Caenorhabditis elegans: one gene and its partner. The protein of the gene in region 2 interacts with the protein of the main gene of each other region in a pairwise test. Each region holds a gene or a part of one and is shown on either strand. Other genes may lie near its edges.

Region 1 (8,704 bases), on a different chromosome or scaffold from region 2:
TTTATTTTTGAAAAAAAAATGAACAAGAAAAGATGCGGACAAAAACATCGTGCGGCAGTGTTGCGAAAATTACGCTCCGCCCCACTTTCTGTGCGACAAAAATTTTTAACGAATTTAAGGATTGATAAATTAATTCCGACAGTACTCGCTTTTTGAAATTCTTGTGTTGTCTTTTAATATTTTATCGATTACAAAATCAACCTCGTAAATCGGCACAAGAGCTACAGTAGTCATTTAAAGAATTACTGAAGTTTTCGCTACGAGATATTTTGCGCGTCAAATATGTTGTGCAATACGCATTCTCAGGATTTTGTGTCACCCGTAATATAATGCAAATATTTATTTCAAACGAAATTTTCACAATTTTTGAACCAAAAAAAAAATACGGAAAATGAAAAAAGAAAGTATACGGTCTCGACACGTGGAAATGTATGTGCCTTGAAAAGTTTTTGAAACTACAGTACTCTTTAAAGGCTCACACTTACGAAAAATTTGTCGTGTCGAGACCAGGTACCGGCTCAAAATAGTAAAAAGCGAGTTTTGTTGTTAAAGAATTGAATTGTTAACAATTTTAGAGATTTACGCCAAAAATCATGTGTTTCCTGATGCAAAATTAAAATTTTTAATTAATTTCCGGTTTTTGTCAATTTTCGGTACTTTTTAGGCAAAAAATATTGCGATTTCTTGAATTTTGAAAATTTTTGGCAAAAAAAACCAATTTTGCTCTGAAATTTCACTGAAATAAATAAAGATTTTTAAAGTTGAAATTATCAAATTAATTTGAGCGCAAAACGTCTTTTTTCGTTATTTTTTTTTTCAATTTTTAACAAATTTTTGTTAATTTAGAACAAAAATTTGTAAATTTTTTGACTTTTTGAGGAGATTTTCGCCGAAAAAATAAACTTTCTAAACTAATTTAGGCGCAAAATTCATTTCTCAGCATTTTTTCCGATTTTTGGCATTTTTTAAAGCGAATTTTTGATATTTTTCAAGAGAAAATATGCGGATTTCTTGAATTTTTTTTTTAGAAAATTTTCGCTTTTTCTTTCAATTTTCAATGAATTTTTGATATTTTTTACACAAAAAAAAAACCTTTTCTACTTCAATTTTCGCCGAAAAAACTGATTTTTTTACTAATTTTCAACTAAAAAATAAAAAATCCCGTACTTTCCACAAATCCGACATCGGCCTGACAGTTCTAGCGTCTGGACTAAACGCCTGCTTAATCTGATGATTTTTCGTGAGCTCTTTGAGCTCCTGCTGTCGTAATCGATCCCGTAATCCGTCACGTGTGAATCGGCTCGGCAGGCTTGTGCATTTTGTGAATGACCGGGAGCAAAGAAAGCCAACGAGGCGATTACTGAGCATTTTCTGAATTGAAAAATTATAGAAAAATTGAATTTTGTTTTAAAAATTTAGTTTTTCATTGAAGAATGATGAAAAATACATAAACGGTTGAAAAACGGATCGCGAAATGCGCCAGCAATGCACCGAAAATGCGCCAAGCGGAAAATAATTTTTACGCTGAAAATGAATAACAGCTTGGAATAAAAATTTTAATTCCATTTTAATTTTCTAAATAACGTTTTGATTTATTTGAAATTTTAAATTTGAAATTGCAAGAGTGATAACTTGGAAAAAAGTGAAAAAAAATTGGAAAATGGTACAGAGCATGAGAGAAAAAACGAGAAGAAAAATAGTTACAAGTGACGGATTTTTTGGAAAAGTTCCGATTTTTTCAGGAATTTTCAAAGAAATTCTGGAAAATTGAGAATTTTTAGAAATTCTTTGAAAATGTTCAGGAATTACAAAGATTTTCGAGAAGTTATAGTGGAAATTTTGTGATTTTTCGGGAATTTTTTGGAGAATTGTATTGAAAAATTTCCGATTTTTTTCCGGAAAATTCGTGAAAAAATCGAAAAATGCTCAAAAATCTTTGAAATTTCTGGAAATTCTTTGGAAAAAAATTAAAAATTGCAGGAATGTTATGAGAGAAAAGTGAGAAAATTAGTTACAAATGGCTTAGAAATTAGTTTTTAATGAAATTTGAGAGATCTTGCTGCTTTGGATGGCCGTGGTGTGTGGTGGTGGCTCATTTGTGCAATTTGGGTGTTTCGTTGCTCATCAATCTTTTTCTGAGTAATTTGGAGCTCTTCATCGAGCAACTCGTTGATTGCTTCAATGTTGTTGTCGGTGAATCGGAAGTATCTGGAAAAAAATTAGAATTTTTTTTGTTGAAATTTTACGATTTTCAAGTAATTTTTTTCACAAATGTCTGTGTCGATTTACGGAGCTCGTGTACTCCTCGAGGAGAAGTTATGTTTTTTTTGGTGGAAATTTTTGATTTTGGTCCATTTATTGTTGGAAAACCACAAATTTAATTTTTGCGATTTTTTTTTTGGAAACTTCTAAAAAATTTGGAGAATTTTTATGATTTTTTTAATGCTAAAGTAGTAATTTTGAATTTCCTATTTTTAAAATGAATTTTTCGAAATTTTCCAAGGCGAATTTTTCGAGAATATTAGATATTTTTCAAAATTTAAAAAAATCTGTAATATTTTAAACTCTCGCAGAAAATTGTCATAATTTTTTTTTTGGGAATTTTCAGGATTTTTTACAAACAATTTTTTCGAATTTTTTAAAAATCTCCAAACATTTTTGCTAATTTTCAGGAATTTCCGATTTTTCAATGAATTTTTAAAAAAATTCAAAAATTTTCAGACGAATTTTTAAAAGAAAAAAAATTTGCAGAAATCATACAAAATCGAGCACCATATCCAAAAACTACTCTTCTCCTCGTGGAGTACACCGTCTGCGTAAATCGAGACAAAGAAATTTTTAAAATCAAATTTTCCGATTTTTTTCATAACTTTTTAAAAATTCTTTGATATTTTTCAAAAATTTCTGAAAAACCACCGCGAATTTATGGAAAATTATATTTTAAAACTTGCGAAATTTTCAAGATTGATTTTTCTTTCAATTTCGATGCAAAAGAATTTGCAAAAATGACCCGAAATCGAGATTTTTTTTTAATTTTCAAAAAAAAAGTTGAATTTTCTGAAAATTCCCATTTTTGCAAATGTTCTGATATTTTTTTTTTACTAATTTGCTGCTTTCTAGAGTTTTCAGCATTTTTAAGAGAATTTCCGATTTTTCAATGAATTTTAAACATTTTTTCAGACATTTTATTTCAAAAAATTTGCGAATTTTCAACATTTTTTGAAAACAATTTTTTAAAGTTCGCCGAAATCATCCAATTTTCAAGTTTTTTCTTTCGATTTCGATGCAAAAGAATTCGCAAAAATGGCTCAAAATCGAGAAAAAACGAACTTTTTGTTCATTAAACTAGCTTCAGAGATGTACATCGGTGCGACCTCACACAACAATCTCAAATGATCCATAATATCAGGAATCGAAGACGAGTTGGACGAGCTGAACTGCACAAATTTGCAAATCACATCAATTTCCATCGTCTGAGCCCGTTTCGCCGTATAATGATTGCACACAATTCGAACATATCGGTCACGGAGCAGTGTTAGACGTTGCTTTCTTCTCTCAAGATCCTTATCAATACAAGCTTCAGCCGCCTTTTTGATTGCTTCCTTCGCACGAATACGCTCTAAAAGTGACATTGCTCCCTGGCTCTTCTGCTCTTTTTGCATCTCGGAGAACTTTTTCGGCGAGATTGGAACTGTTCCAGATGCTCCTGTAGTTGATTTCAGTGGAGATTTTAAGTCTTGATAAGCTTTTTGAACAAATGATGGTAGAGATACTTGATCCATATATTTATCTAAAGCTTCTTTCATTCCAATATGAATCGATGATTTCTGTAGAGGAGGTTCTGGAAGTTTCACCTGCGGCAGTGATGGACAATGCTTGTCAAGTCGGAATAATGGATGCATTCTCTTAATATTCGAAGAAGCACATAATCCTTGAGATTCCAAAAATTCCGTATGACATTTCGTGACAATCGAGGCCAACTTATAACGGAAAACATGAGCTCGGTCTCTTTGACGAGCAGCGTCCAGGCGAATCCTCCCGTCGACTTCTGGCTTTCGGAGAGCCGGTTGAACTTGTTTTCTGGGGCTTTTCTTTGGGGAGAGCAGCTTTGATGGGCAGACTAGTGGAAGATCTTCGGTGTCGCCGTCGGTGGGGGATTTTTCGTAAATGTAGCCTCGTAGATCTGCAAAAAAAAAGGTTTTTTGTAAGCAGGAAACTTTTTTTTGACTAAAAATTGGGGTTTTTTCGAATTTTATAACTAAAAAATTGCGTTTTTCTGGGATTTTTTGAACAAAAAAAGGTGTTTTTTTCAATGTTTGGCCACAAAGATTGTGTTTTTCTCAGATATTTTAAACTAAAATATTGCGTATTTTTCGCATTTATGACTAAAAAATTGCGTTTTTTTCGGATTTTTGAACAAGAAAGGTGTTTTTTCGTATTTTTTTGACTAAAGAAATGTGTCTTTTTTTTTCGATTTTTCGACTTAAAATTGTGTTTTTTCCAGATTTTTTAAATTAAAAATAATTGTTTTTTTCTAATTTTTTGAACAAAAAATGGTGTTTTTTCCAATTTATAAATAGCGTTGTTTCGGATTATTTGACTGAAATATTGTGTTTTTTTTTCGGATTTTTTGAATAAAAATTCGGTATTTTCGGTTTTTTTTACAAAAAACGCTGTTCTATCGGATTTTATGACTAAAAAATTGAGCTCTTTCGGATTTTTTGAATAAAGAATTATCTTTTTTCCGATTTTATGACTAAAAAACGGTGTTTTTTTCCCGGATTTTTTTCTTAAAATTGAGTTTTTTCGAATTTTTTTACTAAAAAATTGTTTTTTTTTTGGATTTTTTAAACAAAAAAGTTTTTTTTTCGAACATCTGGTAAAAAGCTGTGTTTTTTCTTACTTTTTGAAGAGAAAATTGTGTTTTTTTTCAGTTTTTTTTTGAGCAAAGCTAGTATTTTTAGAATTTCCAAAAATTAATATAAAACCAGGGCTTTTTTTTTGAATTTTTTGAAAAATTTTCACATCAAAAATCAGTATCAGGAGCATGAATAGGGTCTGTTAAAAAATAGAGAAATATTTTATTAATCGTTAAATATTTTCGAGTTCAAAAATGTGTGGAGGTGATCAAACAGAGAAGAAAAATCGATAAGTCTTTTTAAACTTAAAAGAATGCTATTTTACGATTAATATAATATTTTTTCTATTTTCTGACACTAAATTTTAATGGAATACGTCAGAAATAGCTGATTTTTTAAATGTTTTTATTGCAAATTGCCAACCGAAAGCTACGAACCTTCCACGAGATTCGGTCGAACCTCAAGTTCATACTTCCCGCCCTGGCCGAATGCTTTTCGCTGTTCACGCATCTCAATATGATATGATTGAGGATATACATGAAGAATTTGTGACAAATGTTCATTGGAAAAATCCTTTCCAGACGTATTCTTAACATTCTTGATCAACTCAGGAACCACACAGCTTCGATTCTGACCGATAAAGATCGCAGTGATCTGATCGATTCGTTTGAAAGTATCAGCGAGATGTTCATACGCAGTTGGAAGTTCAATCCGTTGACGTGCACTCTCCTTAACTTCATCAATAAGCCGTGAGCTCTTCAGAAACTCTGCAGTCATTCGTTTTCCCTCTTCTTCGTGAGCATCATCCTGCTCTCCGCGAACTTTTTCGGCCGATTTCAGGACATTAAAGCCGGGAATAATATAGTCTGGAACTGGCTTCTTCGGTGAGAACAGATTACGAGCGGCCTTGGATTTCTGAGGTGATTTGTGATGCTCAACAATAACTGGTTTCTTCGGAGATTTCAGCAATTCCACGTGATCATCGACCTGCTTCGTTTTGTTCTTCAAATTTTGCTCATGAATCGCTTTAGCTGCTCCTTTTGCAGCTATTCTTGCTTGTAAATCTGCAACAGTTCGAATTCCAGCCTTCTTTTTCGCTGGGCCGGATGCTTCCATTAGCTTATCGATCGCTGACTTCTGAGGAGCCGGATTTTCCAGAATAATATCTTCATGGATTTTGGGAAGCTCAGGGGCTTCTGCTTCAGCTTCTCTAGCTTTTTTTGGCGGAGTTCCGGAACTCGATAATTCCGCTTGACGGGATGGAGTCCGAGCGCGAGTTCGGGAGGATTTATTCTCGACGATTGGAGCAGCAGGAATTTGTACTTCTTTAATTGTAGTGGTCTTTGTGATGCTTTCATCGATAATCTTCTTTTCTCCTCTTGCTCTCGGTTTTCTGGTGGTCTGAAAAAGAAAAAAAAACATTAAATAATTGCAATTCATAACTTCAAACTCCAATTTACCTTGAAAAAGTCGGTTACAGCAGTCTGCGGAGTCTGGGACCTGGATCTAGTCACCCGGGAACTCATTTTTATCAGGAATAAATAATAATTTCAGCGAAATTATTCGCGAAAACCAAAAAATAAATGGGAGAGACGACAGACAAAGCGTACACTTTGAACAGTCCCGGTTTCCCGCACTTTTTGTCCATTGGAGCGCGTTTGTTGTCCGCTGCGTCTCCACGCTTCGTGCACTCCCTCGCCGCACCGGCATTCATTTTGAATGCTGACAAATCCACGTTTCATGCCGATTTTCTTAATTTTCCGGAATTTATACTATTTTTTGCATATTAAAATTGTGTTCAGAGCGTTTAAAAGTGCTTTTCACCTATTTTAGCGTGTAAAATGCCCAAAATTACCCAAAAATCAGTTTGAGAATGAATGCATTTTACTGTGGAAACCTTCAAAAAATCTTTTTTTTAATGAATAATTATTTAAATTGGCGTGATTCCTATATTTTTTGAAATTTTTTTTTCGTTTTTTCTTCTGAATGAGATATCTTTTGCTCCTAGAACTATAAACTGAACAATTTTGGAAGCGGTGATCCCAGAAATTACAATTTTTCGGTCAAAATTTCCCCAGAAATCGCCCAAAAAATAACGAAATTTCACAATTTCTGCGTATTAAATAGCTAAAATATATTCGTGCATTGTTCCGGGAGTATTTACAATAGCTTTTGCCAGAAATCCCAAAAAAAATGATGCGAAAGCTTAAAAATTGGAATTTCAGCGGGAAAAATTCAACAAATTCAACTACAAAATAACAACTTTTTTCAAAACCCAATTTTTTTCTTTAATTTTTCTTTAGATTTTGGGGATTTTTCCCATTTTTTGAGATTATTTTGCATTTTTCGATTAAAAATCCGTATTTTAAAGGTGGCGTAGTCGAATTTTTTTAAAATTGCTTCATTAGACTCAAAATTGTCTCAAAACACCGAATTTCATGATGAAACTGCTTGAAAACTTCTCAAAAAAAGTTATGACTGCTCAAAAAATGGCCTAAAATTAGTTAAAATTTGAAATTTGACCGACTTGTCAAGCGGCTGGAAACTAACTTTTTTGAAATTACCGTCTAATTTTGAGTATACAATTATATTATCTTGCATTTTCAATTTGATTCAGATATTTTGAAGTCGATGGACGGCGAGATTTTTAAATTTTTTAAACCAAATCTCGCCGTCCATCGACTTTAAAATACCTAAATCGAGTTGAAAACGCAAGATAATTACATTTTATATATACTCAAAATTTGACGGTGATTTCAAAAAAGGTAGTTTTTAGCCGCTTGAAAAGTCGGTCTAATTTCAAATTTTAACTAATTTTAGGCCATTTTTTGAGCAGTCATAACTTTTTTTGAGAAGTTTTCAAGCAGTTTCATCATGAAATTCGGTGTTTTGAGACAATTTTGAGTCTAATGAAGCAATTTTAAAAAAATTCGACTACACCACCTTAAAAAAATAAGTGCAGTAATCTAAATATTAAATTAATTTTCAGCCCATCTCCCCTACACCATGCCAGTTATCAACGTGAAAGACGACGAAGACTTCAGAAATCAGCTTTCCCTCGCTGGTCTCAAGTCAGTGATTGTCGATTTCACTGCAGTCTGGTGCGGACCGTGCAAAATGATTGCTCCAACATTTGAAGCTCTGTCCAATCAATATCTTGGAGCAGTTTTTCTGAAAGTTGATGTGGAGATCTGCGAGAAAACCAGCTCAGAGAACGGTGTCAATTCGATGCCAACGTTCATGGTTTTCCAGAGCGGGTATGGGTCTCATCTGGAATTGGAATAGAAATGCGGGAAATTTGAAGAAATTGCAAAAAAGTGAAGTCTCAGAAATTATTTCATTTTGAATATCTTGAAAATATTGATTTTTGCAGGTTTTACGAGCCAATTTGCAAGAAATTTATGAGTTTCCAAATTAAATTTTTTAAAGATAATCAAAACAGGGCTCTGCCATTTTTAATATGCTATAATCCAACTTTTTGATCTAAAATTGATATAGAAATGTAGAAAAAATTTATGTTCCATCTGAAAATAATATTTATTTTTGTTGAAAATTTTGAAAAAGGCCTCAAATGGTGCGAGGCCTATTTCAAATTTTTCAAAAAAAATAAATAATTTTTTCACATGGAACAGACCTTTTTTAAATTACATTCCTATATAAAGTTTAGATCAAAAAGTTGGATTATAGCATATTGAAAATTGCAGAGCCTTGTTTTGATTAATTAAAAAAAATTTAATTTGGAAACCGATAAATTTCTTGCAAATTGGCTCGTAAAACCTGAAAAATCAATATTTTGTGGATATTCAAAATGAAATTGAAAAGGCTTTAAAAGCTTTACCCTTAGT
Region 2 (8,126 bases):
ATTCTTTCGATTTGACAAATCATACGAAGCAATTAATTTTCCTTCTTTCAGAATCTGAAAAAATTGTTTTTATTTTATTTTGTATCAACAGAAAAATTGAGAAAATTAGCATTAAAATTACGGTTTCTGGTCCTAACACTACAATTTTTGTTAAATGCGAGAATATGTGCGCCTTTAAAGAGTACTGTAATTTCAAATTTTCATTGCTGCTTAATTTTCACCGAATTTTCATAGTTTTTCTCTCGATTTGTCAAAATTGAAATGTAATATATTTGCATATTCAGGTTTTTTAATAAATTAATTTAATTCATATCGAAAAAAAAACTACAGTACTTTAAAGGAGCAGACGTTGTTACATTTAACAAAAAATTTTCGTGTCGAGACCGGGTACCGAATTTTTTGTGCAAAATTTCGCGTCTGGGTAATATGTACCTCAAACTGAAATTTATGAGCTGGATCCGGTTCACAAGCCCAAGGAGGCACTTCATAGTGTAGAGCTGGTGCTTGCACTGAAATTTTCGATTCTTTTTCAGCTTGAACTTCCGCAGTCTGAAAGAAAAATGATTATTTCAATATATATATAATCAATAAATATTTTTCAAACCTCAATTTCATCAATAACTCCTTCAACTGGACCGTCCATCTGTTCAGCGGGAGCTCGAATTTTTTCAGGCGACATTGGAGCCGGAGCATGATGAGATGGAGGTAAACTTGGTGATTTGAAGGCTCCGTCTGATTCAGACATTACGCTGAAATATTTATTATTTGATTTCTGAGCTAAAAATACGGTAGCCGGTCTCCGCACGAAAAAGGTTTGAGGAAAAAATGATGTGCACCATTATAGAATACTGTAATTTTAAATTAAAGGGATTTTCATCGTTTTTTTAAAATAAAAATAAGATTATTCATTAGCAAGCTCAAGAATAACATTAAAAACATGAATTATCGAAAAACGGGAGAAAAAAAACAAAAAAATATGAATCTGTAAATTACAGTACTCTTTAAAGGCGCACATCCGTTTTCATTTAACAAACATTTATCGTTTCGAGACTAGGTACCGTGTTTTTGGCACAGAAATCCCAATATTTTACATCTGGATAACTAAAAGATTCGGTTTGCGAAAGTTGTCCACGAGAAGTACATGGCCGTCAATGAAACTAGGCCGCAGCCCATACATTTTTCACTTTGAACACATAGCAATAGTTTGGAAATATTGATGAAAATTCATTCACAAAAGTTCCGGTGATAGTCATACTCAAGTTAATTGCAAATTAGTGAGTTGATGATGATGATAAAAATAATGATAAACGGTAAAAGAGCCTGGATAAGAGATCAATACACACGGGAAGCAATTATTTCAATTATTCGTCGGCAATAACATAGTTCGGATGAACACAGAGAGTTGGATCTTCTCCTTGCTCAACTTCAAGAAGAACGTGATCCTGGTGAATGAGACGATGAATTACACGCTCGCAAATAGTCTTTTGTACGTTGAAGTCTTCCTCCGTCTCCAAATCTGCTTCGATTGTCGACAAGTACCTAAAAACCAGAAATTTAAATTTAAATATTTGAATATTTAAACAAACCATTCAACAAGTGCACTCTGCTTGACACCATCATACTCGTCTTCTCCTTGATTGTCTTCATCGGATCGCATATGTAAAACGAGAACATCAGACAATTGCTTGTATTCCTTGAATGAGATTTTGAGCTTTGCTATATCAATCTTCGGAGCATTTTCCTTCTCTCCATCATGATCCATACTATCATCTCCTCTTTGATTCTCTTTGTCTGCTTCAACAACCATGATATTGTTGTCAAAGTCGTCATCATCCAAAGCAATGTCTGGTTGCTCAACTCTGACGATAGACTTGTTGAGAAGTTCGGCAGCCTTTTCGACATGTTCCACCAGTACTTCCTTTCCACAGTGAAGACGAGCAAGAGCCTCAGACAGACGAACGAGAGACTCCAATTGACGAACAGTGATTCTCCATGATGACGTGGCTGCATTGTTGCTGTCAGACATACGAAGTTTCTTGTACTCTCGAACAAGAGTTTCAGCAGCTTTATCCGAAATCTTCGGCTTGAAGCAACGAGCAAACGCGATATACTTCTTGATATCATCAATTTTGTAAACACTGTCACGTTCAGTATGCTCACTGATCGCACGATGATTATCAAGGATCCGACGGGCAATAGCGTAATCAGTAACTTCATTGCACTCATCGACCAACACAAAGAAAAGATCGAAACGTGACATAATCGGAGCTGACATCTGGACATTATACTTCAACGGACGACTTCTATCATAACGTCCATTAACTGGATTTGCAGCGGCAAGAATTGATGCACGGGCATTCAATGTTGCTTTGACTCCAGCTTTGGTGATGGAAATGGTTTGTTGTTCCATTGCCTCGTGAATGGCAACCTGATCCTTGAGGTCCATTTTGTCGAACTCATCAATACAACAAACTCCATTGTCGGCAAGCATGAGAGCTCCAGCTTCAATGACAAACTCGAACGATTCCTCGTCTTTTACAACAGCAGCAGTCAGACCAGCAGCTGAAGATGCTTTTCCAGAAGTGTAAATAGCTCTTGGACTGAACTCTTCCACAGCTTTCAGAACTTGCGACTTGGCAGTTGATGGATCTCCAACAAGACAAACGTTGATATCACCTCTCAGTGAAGTTCCTTCGTCCCTGCTCTTCTTCGCGACACCTCCAAGAAGCATCAGAAGAACTCCAAGCTTAACTTCGTGGTTTCCATAAATGTTCGGGAAAAGTGAATCGACAATGTTCTTCTCGATTTTCTTATCGTCACTCATTTTCTTCAGTGTTGCACGATCTTCTGTTGACATTTTCGACCATAAATCAAGATAATCAGTCTCCTCAACAGCTCCCGAAGCATCTCCACCAACAAGACTCTCGGTTTGTTGAATATGACAAGCCAAGAATGCCATTTTATAGGTAAGATCACGGACTCCAAGAGCTTTCAATCCAGTGATTCCTTCGCTTTTATCGGTCGCTCTGCCTGTAAAAAATCAGATTATTGTTGAGTCTCGCTAGTTTTTTTTCTTAAAATATATATTTAAATTTATGAAACCATAGGAATCACTAGTCACTGAAAATCAATTCTACTTCCTCGTTCCACGTGACCATAATTGTTCGAATACTAGATGCTAATAAAATCAAAATCACCACATTATCGAGAAACGAGGAGTCCATATAATCACATCTTCCAAAAGAATACTACCCAACCATTGGTTCCTACATTATTCAACCTGCTGGTGTGTTTCTTTTTTCTACAAATGGATGTGGATGCTGCCGTTGTTAAGCGTATTGCTCTATGGGTTTACGAGACATGTTCGGTGTTCAATTTATTCTACTGTATTACTTTATCACTGGCAATAAAAACTTCTAAAAACAGTTACGAAAAATTCGGGATTTTATTTTTTTAAAAATCTCATTTCAGATGCTCTACCAGCCACATACATCTATAACATGGCAATTTCTAACGCACTTCTAGTCATATTCGGAATAATGGTCTACATACTCCCCTATTACATGTCCGATAAAACATATAAAAGTAATAACTGTCCGGACACATGAGGAAGGATATATTTTCTAATCTATATTTTCAGCATATCGGGATTCAATAGGAGCTATGATTTCGGTGGGTGTAACGTTCAATTATCTTCATCCAATGCTCACACTTATTCTGATGACTATTAATCGAATAGCAGTAGTTGTGAGTATGCAGGCATCTCAGCTTTTCACTTCTAGCAAAATATGGCTCTATACTTCATTTCATATGGTATCTTGAAATGCTAAGATTTCAAATGATACATTTATTCTTCAGACTGCCAATTTCGCATGTCTTATTATTCCCTATCTGAGTGAGTGTCGGATAAATTATGATATACGAAAAGTTGGATTCATATCTGAATGTGCACCAGACAGGCATCAGGTAAAGTAGATCTACGGATGATATCTGTGTTACAAAAATTAATAATTTAATTTGTAGATCACAACGTTCTCCAATTATTACTCTGTATTCTTTCCGTTCGTAGCATTCTTTTTCAATGTGCTAGTTATTATAAACTTCAAACTTCAAAGATCACCAACATATACAAAGATCAAAAATATGTTCCGACGTGGGAATGGAGATCAGTTTACATCAATGCCTTCGGATGTTTTAAAAGCGAAAAAGAAGACTGAACGAATGCTTATGATTCAAGCTTTTATCACTGCTTTCTATCTTTCTGTATATGAGCTAACAAGTCTTGTTCTACGAGTTGTTCCGGTATAAATTCAACGAAATAGCGTTTACTATGCAAGTTTTCAGGAACTCTTTGGAAATCTTTCGCTTGACGGAAAGCTCGCATTCACTTATTTTCGACTAGCTCAGGTGCCATGCCATGTATTTCTAGTATACTTCATTTTTACCCCTGTTACCAGAAAAATCTATATGGATTTTGTTCGAGAAAGAGTTTTCTGTATGAAACCAGCGAAAAAGAAGACAATCAAGGTATCTGCGACAACTACTTCCACTAAGAAATGAGTTTCGAATAAAATTGTTTACCTCTGTTCTGATTTGAAGTCTCAGCACGAAGTCCAGGAGTGCTCAATTGAGCAATATCTGGAATGACGATAAGAGTTCCAACAATGTCACATTTATCTCCTGGTTGGACAGTTTCAACCATTTCTCCTCGAACAATCACATCGACAGTACGTGGAATTGATCCACGAGGCAACTCTGCTTGAGTCTCCTGAATTCTAATCTTCTGGAAGTCGACGAAAGTAGATGAGTTGACATCGAGACTGAATCTGGTACGATTCATGCATTGAGGATTAGCACATTTAGTTGGCTGAAAACATTTGAATTCGTTATAAGCTAATTATTATCTCCGCATACCTGAGTGTATCTGAACTGCTGTTGAACATCACGTGTGGTAACACCGCAATCCTCACACACGAAACAAGCCCGTGAAAGTTCTGGATGCACTGGGTGAGTTCGGACAATCTGACCGGCAATGCGCACGAGGCCTCCGACTTTGTCCGCAGAAAGCTCACGAACTTTCGTTTTCGCATCGAGATTGAACAGCGAAACGTACAATTGCTTCTTGAACATTTGCTGTCTCTCACTTTCATCACAAGCATCTAAAGTGGCCAAGTGTAGAGCTTCGCACATGAATGGATAGACCCTGAAGTATATTTATAAGTATTCGAAAATACTAATCGAATTTAATTTACCTGTAGTATTGCAGCTCGATAGTTGTTGCGAGATTGTTACTGAACTTGTAGAGATGTTGCATGTTAATGAAAATGGTATTCTTTTCTGGTTGCACGAGCTCCTTCATCGCAGATTTGTAGATAAACTCATTTTTCTGGTCTTTGAAGCTCTTCAAAAACTTGGAAAACTCGTTCTGCACACGAGTTCCGTCGGTGTCCTCCACTTGCTGGGCTTGACCGCCGATAATGTTGTCCATGCTGAAAGAATTGATTTAAAAAGAATTAAGGCAACTTTCTTAATCGAAAAAGTAAGAAAGAGAACTAGAAATTCAGGAAGTCGGTGCAATCTGAAGAGGAAAACAATGAGAATGCGGGAAAACGACGAGAAATAAGACACCTAAAATTCAAAACTCAATTTTGGCGGCAACCTGCGTACCGAAACACTGGAGTGTTGTAGACGAAACAGTGTGCGCGGTAAAGAGACGCAGACAAATTAGGCGCGAAAACTGTGCGGCTGTGAATTTGAATTTCGACAGAAATTCATTGTCATTCAGAAACTTGCTTTTTCAGATGTAAAAGATATATTTTATGAATAAAATAAAAAACTTATTGGGAAAAATCAAAAACAGAAAAAGGCGCTTTAAAAAATAACAATTCTTGCCATGTCGTCGCAAGACCATTTCCCAAAAACGTGCCTCCCTTGAAACTCACACGGTACGGTACTTTGATAAAAATCGGGCCTACGATTTCTAATTTAATAGCCTGTAATGTAGACTTCAAGAATCAGTAGTTATTGAGAGTCACGAAAAATTTGAAACATGCAAAATTCTCATTCAAACTTGAATTAATTTCAAGGGGAGATAGGTTACCTTGAGACCATTCGGGTTACTGTACTTCTTAGAATTTCAGAAATTCGGGCGATGTTTAGAATGAATAAATATGAGTCAGACGTGCGCAACAGGCCGAGGAAACTTATGCGAGAATATGTGTATGTTTGCTTTCTGGACACTACAACTTCCAAGCTTTGTCGACAGAAAAGTTGTGTTATACTGCTTTATCGATAAGTATGCACTTTCTCTTTAAATTATTCGTTTTGATTTTAAATCTAACTCTGATCTCAAATGGTGAGTTTCGACAATTTTAAAAGTTCAAAGTTCAAAAGGCGCTATAGTATGATGAAATTCACCTATAAACATTTTTTAGAGATTTCCATTTAATTTTGAAAGGCGCACGCTGGATTTCTGAGTGGGTCTCGACACGATCTCGGTGCTACAAGCCATATTTCTCACCTAGCTTCAAGTTTATTGGAAAATATGATGAATTTTATTAAAATACCTTGTCAAAGAATTGTTTCAGTTAAATCTCAATCATACAATGACGTCATTTGCCGCCGACCGTGGTATTTTAACTCACCACGACCTGCTCCAATGTAAGTTGGAGAATATTATAATTGGCAAATAATTCCGTTTTTCTCGTTTAGGAGGTGTCCAACTGCTTCTTTCTTCACATATTATGAATGTTGTGGAGAGTTCTTGGAAAACTGTTGTTGGAGATTTAGACAAGAACCCATGTAAGCTTTTTGTAAAGTAGCTCTAACTAGATCCACATCTAAGTCATATAAATCCACAGAAGAAATTTAAGTTTTCATTTGAGCATCTGTAGTAGAATGAGACATCTCTCAGAACATCCCTATAAGGGGATGAAATTTTGGATTTCTTAATTTGGAACATCTTAAACAGGAACATCTTGAAAACTAAACTTTTTTCAGAATAATCGGAGTAATTCTTCTTGTTCTTCTCTTACTTGTATGTTGCTGTTGTTGTGTTTCTTGGATATTCGTTGGAAGAAAAAAGAAATCTTCAAATATTGAACCAGAAAAGAAGCCAACAAAGAAAGACTCACAAATTCAAACAATTAGCAGTTCAACAATAGATTCTGGAACTCAATGGGAACTCCGAAGAAGCTACGAGGAAACTGATAAAAGAAGGTCTTATGCAGCTGCTAGAGATCAAGAACTGGATTATCAATATTTTCAATAATTATATATTCTGCTCAATTGGATTTTTTTTTGAAAAATTAAAACGTTCCGATTTTCATTTTCCTTGAAAGTGCCATATTTCCTCAAGGATTTTACAAATTTCAAATTCCATTTGTAGACTTAAACGCAAGTGATGCAAAAATAGATGTATGTAGAATAATTTTCTCTGCGGTAAACTAAATATTTCAAAATCAAAGAGCGACTTGGTAGGTAAACTAAATATTTTAGTTTACCTACCAAGTCGCTCTTTGATTTTTCAGTCTCCAAAACGAATAGCTCCTTGTTTTTCTAAACAATTTTCTTTCCCAGGTACCTCGTTGCAATTTTCTCAAATTGCTTTCCTGCTTCATTTTTCACATTTCTTTTCACAATTTTACAACTATTTTCTCCCCTTCAACACCTTTCACAGAAGCTATTGTCAACATCAGTTTGCTCATTTCTATCCATCCACCTCTCTCTTTTTCTGTTGGTTCGTATATATTTGTAATTCAATTCAAGAAACGTGTGCTCTTTCTCTTTCCAATTGCCCATAAAAATGGGACTGGGAGGTTGGATCTTTTGGAATTAGGCACTAGGAGAAAAACATGTTTATTTCAACCAATTCATTTGATTGAACCACTTTTCTTTTACCCCGTTCAGAGTTTTTTTTATAATATATTGTGAGAGTTATATAATTACGACTCAAATTTTGAAATTTGAATTGCGCGTATAATTTTTATTATTGAAACCAAGCTTCAAAACTTTAGTGCTCACCTTTCAGCTATGAATGTGTTGTATTTTATGAAAATTTATATAAAAGTATACGTCGCTCAAAACCCTGTCTCAAAGTCACAACGTTCCAAATGAGTCTTTGCAAT

What was found. Proteins that work in one complex are often made in the same cells at the same time.
Region 1: the proteins of mcm-6 (region 2) and cdt-1 interact in a two-hybrid assay, tested with the Caenorhabditis elegans proteins (one study listed by BioGRID).

Annotation. Positions count from the first base shown.
Region 1 is NC_003279.8:3,221,583-3,230,286, forward strand, and holds cdt-1 (CDT1 Geminin-binding domain-containing protein), read right to left. Parts: upstream 6,523-8,704; 5' UTR 6,386-6,522; coding exon 6,320-6,385; intron 6,261-6,319; coding exon 5,297-6,260; intron 4,184-5,296; coding exon 3,331-4,183; intron 2,209-3,330; coding exon 2,037-2,208; 3' UTR 1,578-2,036; downstream 1-1,577. Other genes in the region: rom-5 (rhomboid protease), read right to left, coding at 1,168-1,368; txl-1 (Thioredoxin-like protein), read left to right, coding at 7,866-8,116.
Region 2 is NC_003281.10:9,791,730-9,799,855, reverse strand, and holds mcm-6 (DNA replication licensing factor mcm-6), read right to left. Parts: upstream 5,490-8,126; 5' UTR 5,489-5,489; coding exon 5,253-5,488; intron 5,204-5,252; coding exon 4,915-5,203; intron 4,868-4,914; coding exon 4,582-4,867; exon of another isoform or gene 4,561-4,581; coding exon of another isoform or gene 4,345-4,560; intron 4,303-4,344; coding exon of another isoform or gene 4,024-4,302; intron 3,967-4,023; coding exon of another isoform or gene 3,859-3,966; intron 3,814-3,858; coding exon of another isoform or gene 3,641-3,813; intron 3,586-3,640; coding exon of another isoform or gene 3,472-3,585; intron 3,426-3,471; coding exon of another isoform or gene 3,308-3,425; intron 3,033-3,307; exon of another isoform or gene 3,031-3,032; coding exon 1,587-3,030; intron 1,540-1,586; coding exon 1,362-1,539; 3' UTR 1,213-1,361; downstream 1-1,212. Other genes in the region: ZK632.2 (uncharacterized protein), read right to left, coding at 1-54, 433-549, 605-745; srxa-10 (Serpentine receptor class XA 10), read left to right, coding at 3,308-3,425, 3,472-3,585, 3,641-3,813, 3,859-3,966, 4,024-4,302, 4,345-4,560; R10E11.9 (uncharacterized protein), read left to right, coding at 6,298-6,355, 6,588-6,660, 6,712-6,801, 7,000-7,270.